3 linked regions of the Drosophila melanogaster genome follow. The protein of the gene in region 3 interacts with the protein of the main gene of each other region in a pairwise test. Each region holds a gene or a part of one and is shown on either strand. Other genes may lie near its edges. The genes, in order: CG3224, Unr and BORCS5.

Evidence for each region.
Region 1: the proteins of BORCS5 (region 3) and CG3224 interact in a two-hybrid assay, tested with the Drosophila melanogaster proteins (one large-scale study listed by BioGRID).
Region 2: the proteins of BORCS5 (region 3) and Unr interact in a two-hybrid assay, tested with the Drosophila melanogaster proteins (one large-scale study listed by BioGRID).

What each region holds. Positions count from the first base shown.
Region 1 is NC_004354.4:6,659,919-6,663,242, reverse strand, and holds CG3224 (uncharacterized protein), read left to right. Parts: upstream 1-1,780; 5' UTR 1,781-1,889; intron 1,890-1,949; 5' UTR 1,950-2,070; coding exon 2,071-2,559; 3' UTR 2,560-2,691; downstream 2,692-3,324. UniProt on the Drosophila melanogaster protein: Involved in pre-60S ribosomal particles maturation by promoting the nuclear export of the 60S ribosome.
Region 2 is NT_037436.4:8,438,571-8,443,412, forward strand, and holds the start of Unr (upstream of N-ras), read right to left. Parts: upstream 3,138-4,842; 5' UTR 1-3,137. UniProt on the Drosophila melanogaster protein: RNA-binding protein that acts as a regulator of dosage compensation in both males and females.
Region 3 is NC_004354.4:11,870,737-11,874,762, reverse strand, and holds BORCS5 (BLOC-1 related complex subunit 5), read left to right. Parts: upstream 1-1,983; 5' UTR 1,984-2,216; coding exon 2,217-3,266; 3' UTR 3,267-3,464; downstream 3,465-4,026. Other genes in the region: CG15739 (uncharacterized protein), read right to left, coding at 1-376, 498-881, 1,260-1,262.

The sequences.
Region 1 (3,324 bases), 5.2 Mb from region 3:
CTAACGCACTGGGACCAAACCGGTTGGACCTATTCACCTCTATCACTCTCGCTTTTATTCGCCTGCATTAGTAGCTTTGCCTTTACACAGAGAGAAAAGCATTTGTTACTCTTATCATGAAATAAACCATTATCACTAAATATTGTTTAAGATTTGTATATTTTCTAGTTCTATTTTGGGCAAGTAATAATGAATAATCTGCGTTTACCAGTAATATTTCTATTATGCTAAATGCTAAGACTCAGCGAAATAGCTAAGATATTTTGATATAAGTTTGAAAATGGAATTTCACGACGTGATGAAGTGTGATTCATTATTCATATTATATTAAAGAATTAAAATAAGAATTGAATTAAAATTTAATTTAGTTCCAAATATCAAGTGAAATTTAAACGATCTAGCAACGTAAACTTTTTTCTTTCTGTTTATTTGCATGGACAAATGGCATTAACCGTTGCTTCATCTCATCAGCTGATCTCCGCCAAGAGAGCCCCATCCTCTGCTCCTGCACACACACACACACTCACAATCGCACCAATTGCGAAATGTCAAATCGTGACCGACATGTATTGCAGCAACAAATGGGAGAGAAACGGCGAGAGTGCGTGTGTTTTTTTTCTATTGCAGGCCGGGGGAGCTATTATATCACATGTGTAAAGAAAAGAGAGTAGGAGAGAGTTTGTTGATCTGAATTCGAACATACATATATCACTCAACGCACGAACACAGATAGAGGGTTAATTGTGCTTGTAACGGTATAATTGACTGATAAGCGATTGGCACTGATAATCACAATCGGTATGCAATCGCTGATTATCGATAAGGACTCCTAAGCTTTGTTTTTAGTTTCGTTTATACTATTTCACGCATTTCGCGTTCTTTTTGTTGTTGTTGTACTTACTGCAATTGGCGGGCAATTGGCTCGAGTTGTAACAATCTACAATGTATGTATGTATGTATGCTGTAACACCGGTTTAAGTGACGAACTCAACGGAATGTCTAGCTAAAAACAGAGAGTCAACGAAAAATGCCAATAAGCCAACAGTCGTACATTTTAAACAATGCATGCAGCTGCCGTTGACACCCACCCAACCCCCTGCACCAGTCATTTAACAACAATCACAGTTTCTGATTTTATTTTGTGCTTCGTTGTTGCTTTTTGCGCTAAATCACACACGCACACACACTCACTGCAAACGCTGAGCTTTTGAAGCAAGCGAGATAGCAAGAGTGGACCGGCTGCAGCATCTTATGAAAAATAATAATTGCTTTAATCGTTTTTGCAAGTGTAAAACCCGATCTATTTCACAGTGTTGTTATCCAATCACACATGTGTGTGTGCGTCCAGCCCACACACCCACTATTTGTATTATCAATTGCACTTTATCAACGCAAGTTAAACCGAACTCTATGTTTATGTATTCAAATGTTAGGGGCTTACTTTACTTCCTGCGGCAAGGAAATAAATAATATTAAAACAAAATGCGCACGGTCCGCCCGCAGACAACTTGTTCGCACGATTGTTGATGAATTAATTGCAAGCATATGTTTTTTTATTTAACAGTGCGCTGCCTACGAAAAGGCACTAAATAATGCCAAAAAATAGTATTGTAAAAGACGAAGTAGATGGAGTGCAGCTTAAAAATGAGTAACTTATACAACTTATTGTCGCAACAAGTAGCTAATTTATGGAATTTTAGTTTAATTAGTTTTGGTTGAATTTAGTTTTATTTCGAATAAATAAAAACAGCTGTGTATCAGTGTGCACACACCACGATTTCTTCAGTTATCGATAAGAAACCAATCGGCCGGGGACCGTCGCCAACATTCTATGTGCGCATTAAATTAACTTGTTACCTTTAAAACCCTCGTTTCTTAACCAAAAAAAGGTAAAGTTAAGCAACAAATTACTGTAACAGTATATAAATTAACATTCAAATGCATTACAGGTTTTAGGAAACACCTAGCAGCAGCAGCAGAATCTAAAACCCCATTGGCAACCAAAACACGTGCCAAAACAAACGATTAAATTTTCCGTAAAAGTTGTAAATATAAAAAAAAGTCAGCAAGATGGGAATGGTATCGAAACGCAAGAAGATGCACTATGGCGATACCCATCTGCAGAGGAGATGGCGTGTGCGGAATCGACGTCGTGATCTCGACCAGATCGACGACGATCTGCAGACCCGGAGCGGTGAACTGATCAATCAGAATGTGGATCTCGACAAGCCGGGATTCGCGCAGTTCTACTGCGTGCACTGTGCCAAGTACTTCATCGATGACACCGCCATGCAGGCACATTTCCGCACCAAGGTGCACAAGAGGCGTCTCAAGGCCCTAGAGATCGAGCCGTACAGCATCGAGGAGGCGGAACGCGCCGCGGGACGTGGCAGCTTCGTGAAGCCCAAGAAGCGGGCGATGGAAACGCAGCCATCGAAGGAGGACGTGGTCGCTGGCAAGAGGATCCGAGTGGAAGTGGTGCCCGAGGATACAGATGCCACCGATTCGCCATCGACGTCCAAAACGAAGCGCAAGAAAGTCGAGAAAATGGAGACATAGGCGAGGAGGATGAACCAATCTATTGATCTAGCTTAGTTTTTAAGGCCCTCGGGGACAGGACTTTCTTCACCCCCCTCCCACAGAACTCTGTTTACCTCCAATTGCTTTCTTTAAATACATTTTTTTTCCAACATATATAAATCGATTCAAAATTAATTTTCATTTAATGCGCGCAAGGGTGGCGAAAGATCAACAAGCTTCTAAACAACAAGCAGTTCAACGCTTCCAAGCGGCAAAGCTTTATTTACCGTTCTTTTGATTTCTCTCCTGCAGCTCAAAAGTTCAAGTTCTCTCCGCAAGCGGTCACTTTCTTCGTCCGTGAGCAGCGGTAAACACAAAATGCGATGGCTGACGCGCTTTAAAATTAAAATTAAATAAATATCAGCGTCGTTTGCTGTCGAAAAGTGCTACAAAGTGTAATTAACCAGTGAGCGCAGGTCGACGCAATGCGTTTGATACGGTATTTCTAGTTTAAACGGGTGAAATTGGTAAATTTCTGCAATTTCCTCATTCTCCTTTGGGCTCATTCTCCGTTGGCGCGTGTGTGGGTGTGTTGGTGCGTGTTCAACTGGCATTCTCATGTGCACTTAAGAGTATGCTACGTTTTAGAGCGGTGATCTTGTGCATTTTGCCATCGCGAGTGTTTTGTTGTGAAATGGCTCATCAAAATGTGAGAGTATTTGTGTTTTTTTTTATATTTTTTTTTAGGTGATTTGTGCTCAATAAATGTGAAATTAAATAATGTACAACTTTAATTGCATGGAT
Region 2 (4,842 bases), on a different chromosome or scaffold from region 3:
TGTTGTTTGTTTTGTTTTTTGTGTATATATATTTTGGCTAAACACTGGCACAAGAGGCACTGAAATTCCTTGTCTTCGAAGTTAATAAAAATTTTTGTCTTTTCTTGAGGGCATTCCCCGCAAAAAATGTGGTTGTTTTACTTAGCTTTCCTTTGCTGTTGTTGGTTTGTTTGTTTGTTGGTTTTTTGTGTTCCTTGTTGTTTTGTGTTTTTATATTTCTTGTAAAAAATGCCGACAAATATTGTAACGTTGTTGGTTTGTTTTGGTAGTTTGAAGTTCCTTCCTGGGTCTGTTGTAGGTTGTATTTCTTTTTAAAGTTGTTGTTCTTGAAATATTTTTTTTGTTTGTTTTGTGTATTCAAAATATTGTGGTTTTACGATGAAAATGCACACCAGCTCTGCTGCCGTTGGTGTTTTTATTTTTGTTCGAGTTTTGAATTATTATTGAATTATTGCATTTTGTTTGAAATGAATTTGGTTGATTTTTTTTTATATTTTTACTTTAGTTTTACTAGAAAAATACACTGGGAATACTTTTTACTTTTGGGTTAGATTAGCTTTGTTTGATATTTGAATATTTTGTGTGTTTTGCTTGATTATATTGGTTTCTATTTAGTATACATATATATAATATATATTTTGTAGGCAATCGTTGTGGTTTATAGGAAGTAGTAGTGATTTTTTATTTACTTTCGAATACCTTTAGTACAACGATGATTTTTGGGGGACGAGGTTTAAATCTCCTTCTTCCTCTTCTCGGGACTTCCGTTTCCGGTTCCTCGCTCACTCTCTCTCTGTATCTTTCTTTCTTTCTGTGTCGATTTCCTATTTTGTTTCGCTGTACGTTGCTATTACTTTTCGGTTGCACGATTTGTATAATTTGTTTTTTCTTTTTTGTTGTTTTGTTGCTGTTTTATTGCTGTTTCATTTACTATTCACTAAGCAAAAATTATGAGTTTTAATGTTTTTTTGTTTTTGTTTTTATATATGTATATAATAGATATAGGACACCCGTTATGTAAAGTTATCCTCGCTCATTTACTATGTTGAACTTTAAGTCTACGATTTATTTTGTTTTGTTTAAATATATATATTTTTTGAATGCGTTTTGAAGTCTTTTCATAACCTAGGGTTTTTATTTTTTGCTTTGTGTTGGTTGGTTTTGTTGTTTATTCACTTATTCCATTGTTTTGTTTTTGTTTTCTCGGTTGACGCTCACTAGATTTAAGCTTAGTTTAATAGTTTATATAATATAATATATAATATACTATAGTATATATGTATCGAAGTCCTTTAAGATATCACGAATTTGTTTCAATGTTTTTTATCTTTTCATTTGCATTTGCTCTTAAGTGTAAAGTTGTTGTTGGTTTAAGATGTTTTTCTGCTTTCTGCTTCCTCTTTCGCTCCTTCTTCTTCTTCGCCTACTGTTAAAAATGACGGGGTTTTCCTTTCATTTAATTAGAGATTTTTTTGTGGTTTTTCTTTAGGTTTTTGTTTTTTTTTTTTCTTTAAATTTATAAATTTACAGTAATTATCACAGAGTTGTTAAATCTTTCTTTGAATTTGTTTTGTTTTTCTTTTCTCCGTTTTACTTCCGTTTGTTGCAGTTGCTTTTGCTGTTTTAGACTTTTAACATTTCTCACTAGGTACACTTATAAAAAAATCTGAATTGAAAACTAGTAAAAAACAATGTTTTATTGGAAAAAATAAAAACTGTTTTTTTGGCACAAGGCCGCAGTTTTGAATTTGTTATGCGTTCTCTATATATATTGGCTTAATCCGTTTATTTTTTTTTCACTAATTTATTGTTTTAATTAAATTTATTGGCTAAGTTCAATTGCTGGTGTTGTTGTTGTAGGTCTGTGTAAAACGTGACTTAAAACTTATAGAATTCTTGTAGATTTTTGGTTTTAAATGTTTTCTTTATTGTTACCGTTATTTTTTTAGTATATATTTTTTATTCACACTTTTTTTGCGGCACAATTGTTGCTTGATCGGTTTTATTCAGCTCTCCTCGCTTCTCCTCCATTTATCGCTCTGTCTCCCACTTCCCTTTCGCCCTTGTGGGCGTTTATCAGTTGTTTTTGGACTTAAATTCTAGCAGTGTTTGTTTTTATGTTTAGTTAAATAATTTAGATTGATGTTGCGTTTTAAATTAAATCGTTTTTAATATGTTTAAATTATTTGTTGTTGATTTACTCCCGGTTATTTTGTACTTTAAAACATTAATTCAGTTGTTTGTTGGTTGTTGTTTGTTTGTTGTTGTTGCTGCTTTTGTAGCTCGGTTGTTGATGTCTTAATTTAAATTAATTAGCAAATTGAATTCACTCTGACTTAACAACAAAAAATTCGTAATTAAATTAAAGCTTTTCAGGAAAAATAATGAGGAATTTGGGATTTATTTAGCGTTTTTCCAAGTGTAGGTTTTGCGGTTTTGCTTGAATTGTTTTTGTTTTATTCGAGAGTCCGAACGCCGCAGCGCCGTTGCCTTTGACTTCACGTTAGTTTCGTTTCCCGTTGCTTTTTTGTTTTCAGTGCTTTTGCCGTTTTCTTGTTAAACTCCGCTTTACTTGCTCCTTCGTGGTTTGCCTTTTATTTTGTTTTAGCTTTTCTTTTTGTTTATTTATTTGTTGGTGCTTTTGAGTATTGACGAGTTAATTTCACAGCGTTTCAATTTGTTTGGTTTGTTGTTGGTTTTGTTGTTGTTTTATTTGAAAGTCTTCGTTTCAAGCTTGGCTTGTTTTTTATGTTGTTTGTTGTTTTGTTTTCTTTTTTTATTTGCGCAGTCGCTTTATCTCCCTCTCTGTCTGTCTCGCTCACACCGACGGGCGGCGTAAAAATTCTCGTTTTTTCTGTTTTGTGTGTTTTTCTTTGCAAAGCAAACGAAACAAAAACAAAGAAGAGTCCAAAAAACTTAAAAAGTTTTTGCTTTGACTTTTTCCTTTTGAGCTATGTTGTTGTTGTTTTTTATTTCTGCTGTAACTTTCAATTATTTGCGATTTATATTTGTATGTATTATTTTTTGATTCGTTTTCGATGGTGATTTTTTTATTTTTTTATCATATTTGTTGTTGTTTTTTTATATTATTATTATTTTTTCAGATTATGATGAAAGTGATGTCAAAACGGAGTTTTAGTTACAAAAGCTGTTGAATGAGAAAAAGAGAAAGGTGGAAACGATTAAGAAAAATTAATACATCTTTTTTATTATTTCTTTTATTTTTGGCTAGTGAAATCTACACCGAAAGTCTTGCTGCAGTTTTATCGATTTTTCAGTGTTGCAAATGGAGAGATTTTTGCCTGCCGGAAAAAATTGCACACACACTGGCGCAACCTACTACGCACACACACATGCACGCCCATACACACGCACACGCAATTGCAATCGTAAACTATTTTTACACATTATTGTTGTGGTTTTTAGCGTAAAATTAGCAACCCCGCAGACTGCACACACACATGCACAGTCACCGAAGTGCCAAGTTGGTAGCAAAAAAACGAATTTTCATCAACTTTTTTTTCGGGCTGCAAATTTGGTACCCTCAAACGCACACACACACACACAGAAGCGTAGAAAATCTGGCTGGGCAACGAAAAAACGTTAATTCGCCATTTAAAAACTAATTTCCCTAACACATTTCATATTTTTCCATCACAGCTTTGTTCGCGGCACATTTTCTGCATATTTTCGTTCCGAATTTGAGTTAAATAATAGTCCTATTTGAAGCGAACGAGAATTTTCTGGACCAGCCACACGTACCACACGACAGCACAACAACTGCTAGCGGGCGCCATATTTGCCGACAGCACGATGGCAGTGTTGGAAGGTGTGCGAAGAGAGGGACAATTGTGACGTCAGTGGTCATGGGAGTAGGAGCAGGGATCTCTTAGCTTTTCTATTCCTATATTTAAATAATCAAAACTTATCTAAGATAACGATTTAACTTTAATTCAGTTAAAGGGACTATCTTTAATGCAATGTCTAAAAGTAGTAGAAGTGCAGGGTTATACATCTATGTCATTTTCTATGCTATCACTGCAAATTATAAAATATGAATTGTATGTGACTTTTATGTAATATTCTTAGTTTTAATAATAAACAAAAGCAATTTATGTAATTAAATGGATTATTACTAAGAAAATTACATCTAAATATTTAATTTTAAACTGTACGTATTCGAGACAAGAACCATCGCTAGCTATTTCTAACTTAAGCCAACCCCAAAATCTTTTCGCCTTTTATTAAGCGGCAATATATTGATTTAAAAAATGAAACTAGTTTTATTTGTTCTGATAAATAAATATGGAAGATATGTTATTATCTTTGTAAAATTGGAATTCCCCCAAAAATGCAGAAGTGTATTCACTTAGTTTAATTCTTAATTTTCGGAAGTTCTGTCACATAAAACATAAAACACAAAAAATCCCTTTTTTAGATTCCTTTTAGCAGCCCACAGAAAATCACATTAGTTTTACGTCTTCCTGGGTCTTTTAACGAATTTTATTTCAGCAGCTCCTTGGTTGCTTAATCCATAATTAACTTAAATGGTATTTTGCATGATAATGGGATCCAATACATATGTATGCTGATAAATTGATTATCCTTGAACAGATTTTTAAAGATTACAATTTACAAAATCTAGTTAATTGGTTACGGTGCCTTTTATACATTCGACAGTGCAAAATGTTATCAACATGAATAGATTATCAAAACGCCCTCGCTAAATATAAATCTCGGGCTAATTGTAGTTAAAAAGATTTAATATCATGTTTATAATTTTTACGTTACGAGCACTTCGATTTGGTCACACATTAAATTGCATCTGGTTTTGCATATTTT
Region 3 (4,026 bases):
AGCTAACGTCCTGGGCCAACATATCTCCGATCATGAGCACCCGACTGGGCTGAACGATTTGGTAATGCTCGACAAGCAGATCACCCAACTCGCGGCCAGGCTTGCCCAACGTAATCGGCTGCTTGCCACTGGCCTCCACGAGGATGGAGGCGAAGGCTCCCGGACCTACGATGTTCACTTCCTTGGCCACCGGTAGCAGGCGATCGGTGGCGCCTTCAATGAGCATACACTCCGGATGGCGCAGGTACAGGTGGGCGCGCAGAATCTTCGGGGAAGTCAGATTGAAGTCCACGTCGATGATGACGGCGCGCACGGGCTCCTTGCCAAAGATGTGCTCGGCCAGGCTGGCGTAGCTCTCCTCGATGAACTCGTTGGGCTACAGGCAGAGTTGGTATATCAAATATAGTTTAACTATGCATAGATAGGTTATTGGATTGTTCAAATTCAGGAGCACTGAAAACCAGCACCACTCTTCACCCAACTTATTTACCACTCACCCCGTCCAGGAGCTGGAATCCCGCCTCGCGCAACACCGTCTTGAACGACTGGCTGGCGATGATGTAGATGAGTCCCTCGAACTTGATGCTCTGCAGATAGCTAACGATGGACTTGGCCGGATGCCAAATCTGCTCCGGGTGCACCTGCATCCCGATCTTGGCGAAGAGTTTGACGCACTGCTCGGACGTGCGAACGCTGTTGTTGGTCAGGAAGGTCAGATGCTTGCCCATCTGCTCGAGAGCGGCATATCCGTCGGCGGCACGCGGAATGCTCTGCTCAAAGGTCCACAGGACGCCATCGATGTCGCTGACCACCCGGTCGAAAGAGTCGACAACGCTGCTCCGCTGCTCCTGGCTTAGCTGCAAAATGTGCTGGGGTTTGGCCTAAGGTTGTAATTGAAAATTCAAATTTAATTCAATAATTAAACTCAAAAAACTAGTAATGGATTTTTTTTAAAAACTATATAATTCTTAACAAGTTCGGCGCTTTGTACAAAAAATGAAATTTATCTATAGCACTTTTTAAAACTTCTAGCATTAAAAGAAAAATTCCATTTTTGGTGACAAAACATCTTTAGCGTTGTAATTCGTGACCTAGACCAACATTAGTTAAACTTTTGTATAAAATATAGGAAAATTGTAAATGGCAGTCCCAGAAAATAATAATAATAGTATATGCGTAGACTTAAAAAACAAATAGGCAGGGGGATCGATGGTGCACCTCGATAAGATTATTCCAGCAAAGCCCTGTTCCCTGCTCACCATTGCAATCCGTTCTGGTGAGTGAAAGTGTTGCTATCGCGATCACGGTCGTCAGCCAACTGACTTTGCTGAATATTGCTCGAGCTGAAATCGAAACCAAAACCAAAACCAAAACAGAATCTATATCCCATGCTGAGAATTAGCACCTCAAACGGCAGAACGACGACGACGGCCACCAAAACACTGGTGAACTTATACGGAAGCATTGGAAGAGAGGGCTCTCCACTTATCGCCTGGTCTTATCTGAACCCCAACGACATCCCCCTACTTATACAGTCCAAGTGGAGCTCGATTTCAAAACAATAGACAACGAAATTAGAAGAGCTTGCAAACAAAAGTTATAGTGTTTATATTTAAAATTATCAACAGAAAGTCTAGGAAATGATAGGAAATTAAAAGTTATAAGCTATGGCTTCAAATTTAAACTCCATGTCTAGATCTTAAAACCAAAGAATTAGTATTTCTGTATTTAAAATACCTAACCGAAGCTTTCAATATACAACTATTTAATATGAACATTTTGTAATAATTTCAATATCACTAGCTTATAGTTTTATGATTTATTTAGTAAAGTTTCACTTTTATTATATTCGTTTTTTTTTTTTTTTAAGAAAAGCCGAATTTCAATGAATATGTAAACCCCCCTACTATTTGAAAGCTGACATCAAGCGTGCAGTGGAAACAGCTCGTTATCTGTACTTTAATACCGAAAAACGCACTAGCGCATTTCAGCTGGCAGCTGGGAAATTTTTAGGTCCTGAATGAGACTTTGTTGCGATTCGATTTGAGGCTTTGGCATCGATTTGTTTTGAGGTGTAAATCGACTGGCTTGGGCCACTGGAAATGAAGCAGCAGGTGGGCCCAGGACAGCAACAGTGACAGCGCCAGCTAACCACAAAATTCGGGCCAGGAGTACGCGGAACTTGGAGTCGGAATCGACAGGAATCGGATCGATAAATGGGCGCCGAGCATTCGCAGCAGCGGGCTGAGGCCGATGGCCACGAGATCTTCGACGGACGCCAGCCACCAGGAGCGGGCACTGGATCCCTCGGCGATGGCAGCTCCATGATGCTGGCGGCCACGGCGGCGGCCAACAAACGACGCGGAGTTGGTCATCGCCAGCAGACGACAGGAGGAGCAGGCGGAACAGTGGTGGGCCCGGGAGCTGGAGTGGGCCCAGCTAGCATTGTGATAGCTAGCAAGCAGATCATCGCCGAGGCCGCTTCGCCCGGCGGCTCCGAACTGAGCAGACCGCCTTCGCCGCCGCTTAGCGTCTGCTCCGACCTGCCATATGTGTCCTATACAGATCGGCCAATCGGTGATTCGCCCAAGATACGCAGCAAGCCGGCGCATATGCTCCAGCAGAGCAGCGCCAGCCGTGCGGCGGCCAGGAAGTCACATCCGAGTGGACTCACCAGCGCCGTGAAACCGAAGCGACCACAGTCCACGGCCTCTAGTCATAATATAGTGATTGTGCGTCCCGGTGCCATCGATGCTGGCGAGGATGTGGACATGGACTTGGCACGATTGCGCAATATACCGCAGTTTCTGCCCGTGCTCCGTGAATCCATCACGTCGGCGACCAATACACGAGATGCAGAGATTCTGGAGCGACTAAACTCGCAGCATTTGATCAACATATGTACCCGCATGCAAACACATCTTAATCTGTGCGCCAGCTATGTGGCCAGCGAACAGAATCACCTCGTGGAACGTACCAAGGTGGTGAGCAACTCGATCACCACCCTCTTTGCCGGATTCGTGGACATGCAGAAGACGTACGCCTCGTACGCCGAGCAATTCGCCAAGATTCGGAGCATATCGCATCAGCTGAGCAGATGCAACTCGCTGCTGCACGAGAACATAGCCAGTCTGGAGGCGATCAATAACTTCCTGGACGACGAGGACCGCCTGGAGCCCTTCGTCTGGCGCACCGACGACAACAAGCTGCGCGGCGAGGCTGAGGGCGCCATCGGAGGCAACAGCAGTCGCCTGTGGCGGCTGTAGGATCCCCACACACTTATTGGTCTCCAAAGATTTTCCTAGCTCATAATAATCGTGTATTTATTGTGTATATTACTCGTTAACGATGCCGCTTAATCGTGATTTTTAATTAGTAAATCAAACCTAATATTAAACTCAATTTGATATTTTATTTCTCGAAATGCAAATAGTATTTTTCTATATTATCACGAAAAAATAATTCTTTATCATTGGAGTGAGGCTAGTTTTGCAAATGCGATAATTTTCTTTCGGTCAGCCAACCAACCACAATAGATATCTCACCACAGTATTATCGTTTGAAACTCATATAAAGGAAGAAACCAATTTGCTTACGACCTTATTTGTCCATTTAAAGGTTTGGATATTTATTTTATACACTGTATTCTCTCTTATGCAAATGCATATTATTACGTATGCTTGCCGCATATATGTATACAAACAATAAAGTCTTCAACTACAATTAACAATTAGACAGCGGTCAAAAGCACATTTATTACTTCTTACACAATTTGTCTAGATTTAGAGTAGATTCTAGCTACGAGTAAATATCGCATATAGGGATATACAATACAATACAAACATACATATACGACTATGGACAACAAATGTGAAACATTTGATTACTATTTTTGGTAACGCTACGCAAACAACATTTTTCATTCCATATACACACGATTACAATTCCACACAAGCATCTGGATGGTACATTTACATTATATTTAGACCCTTTAGCCTACACCGTTGAATGTGAATCGAGGCGGAG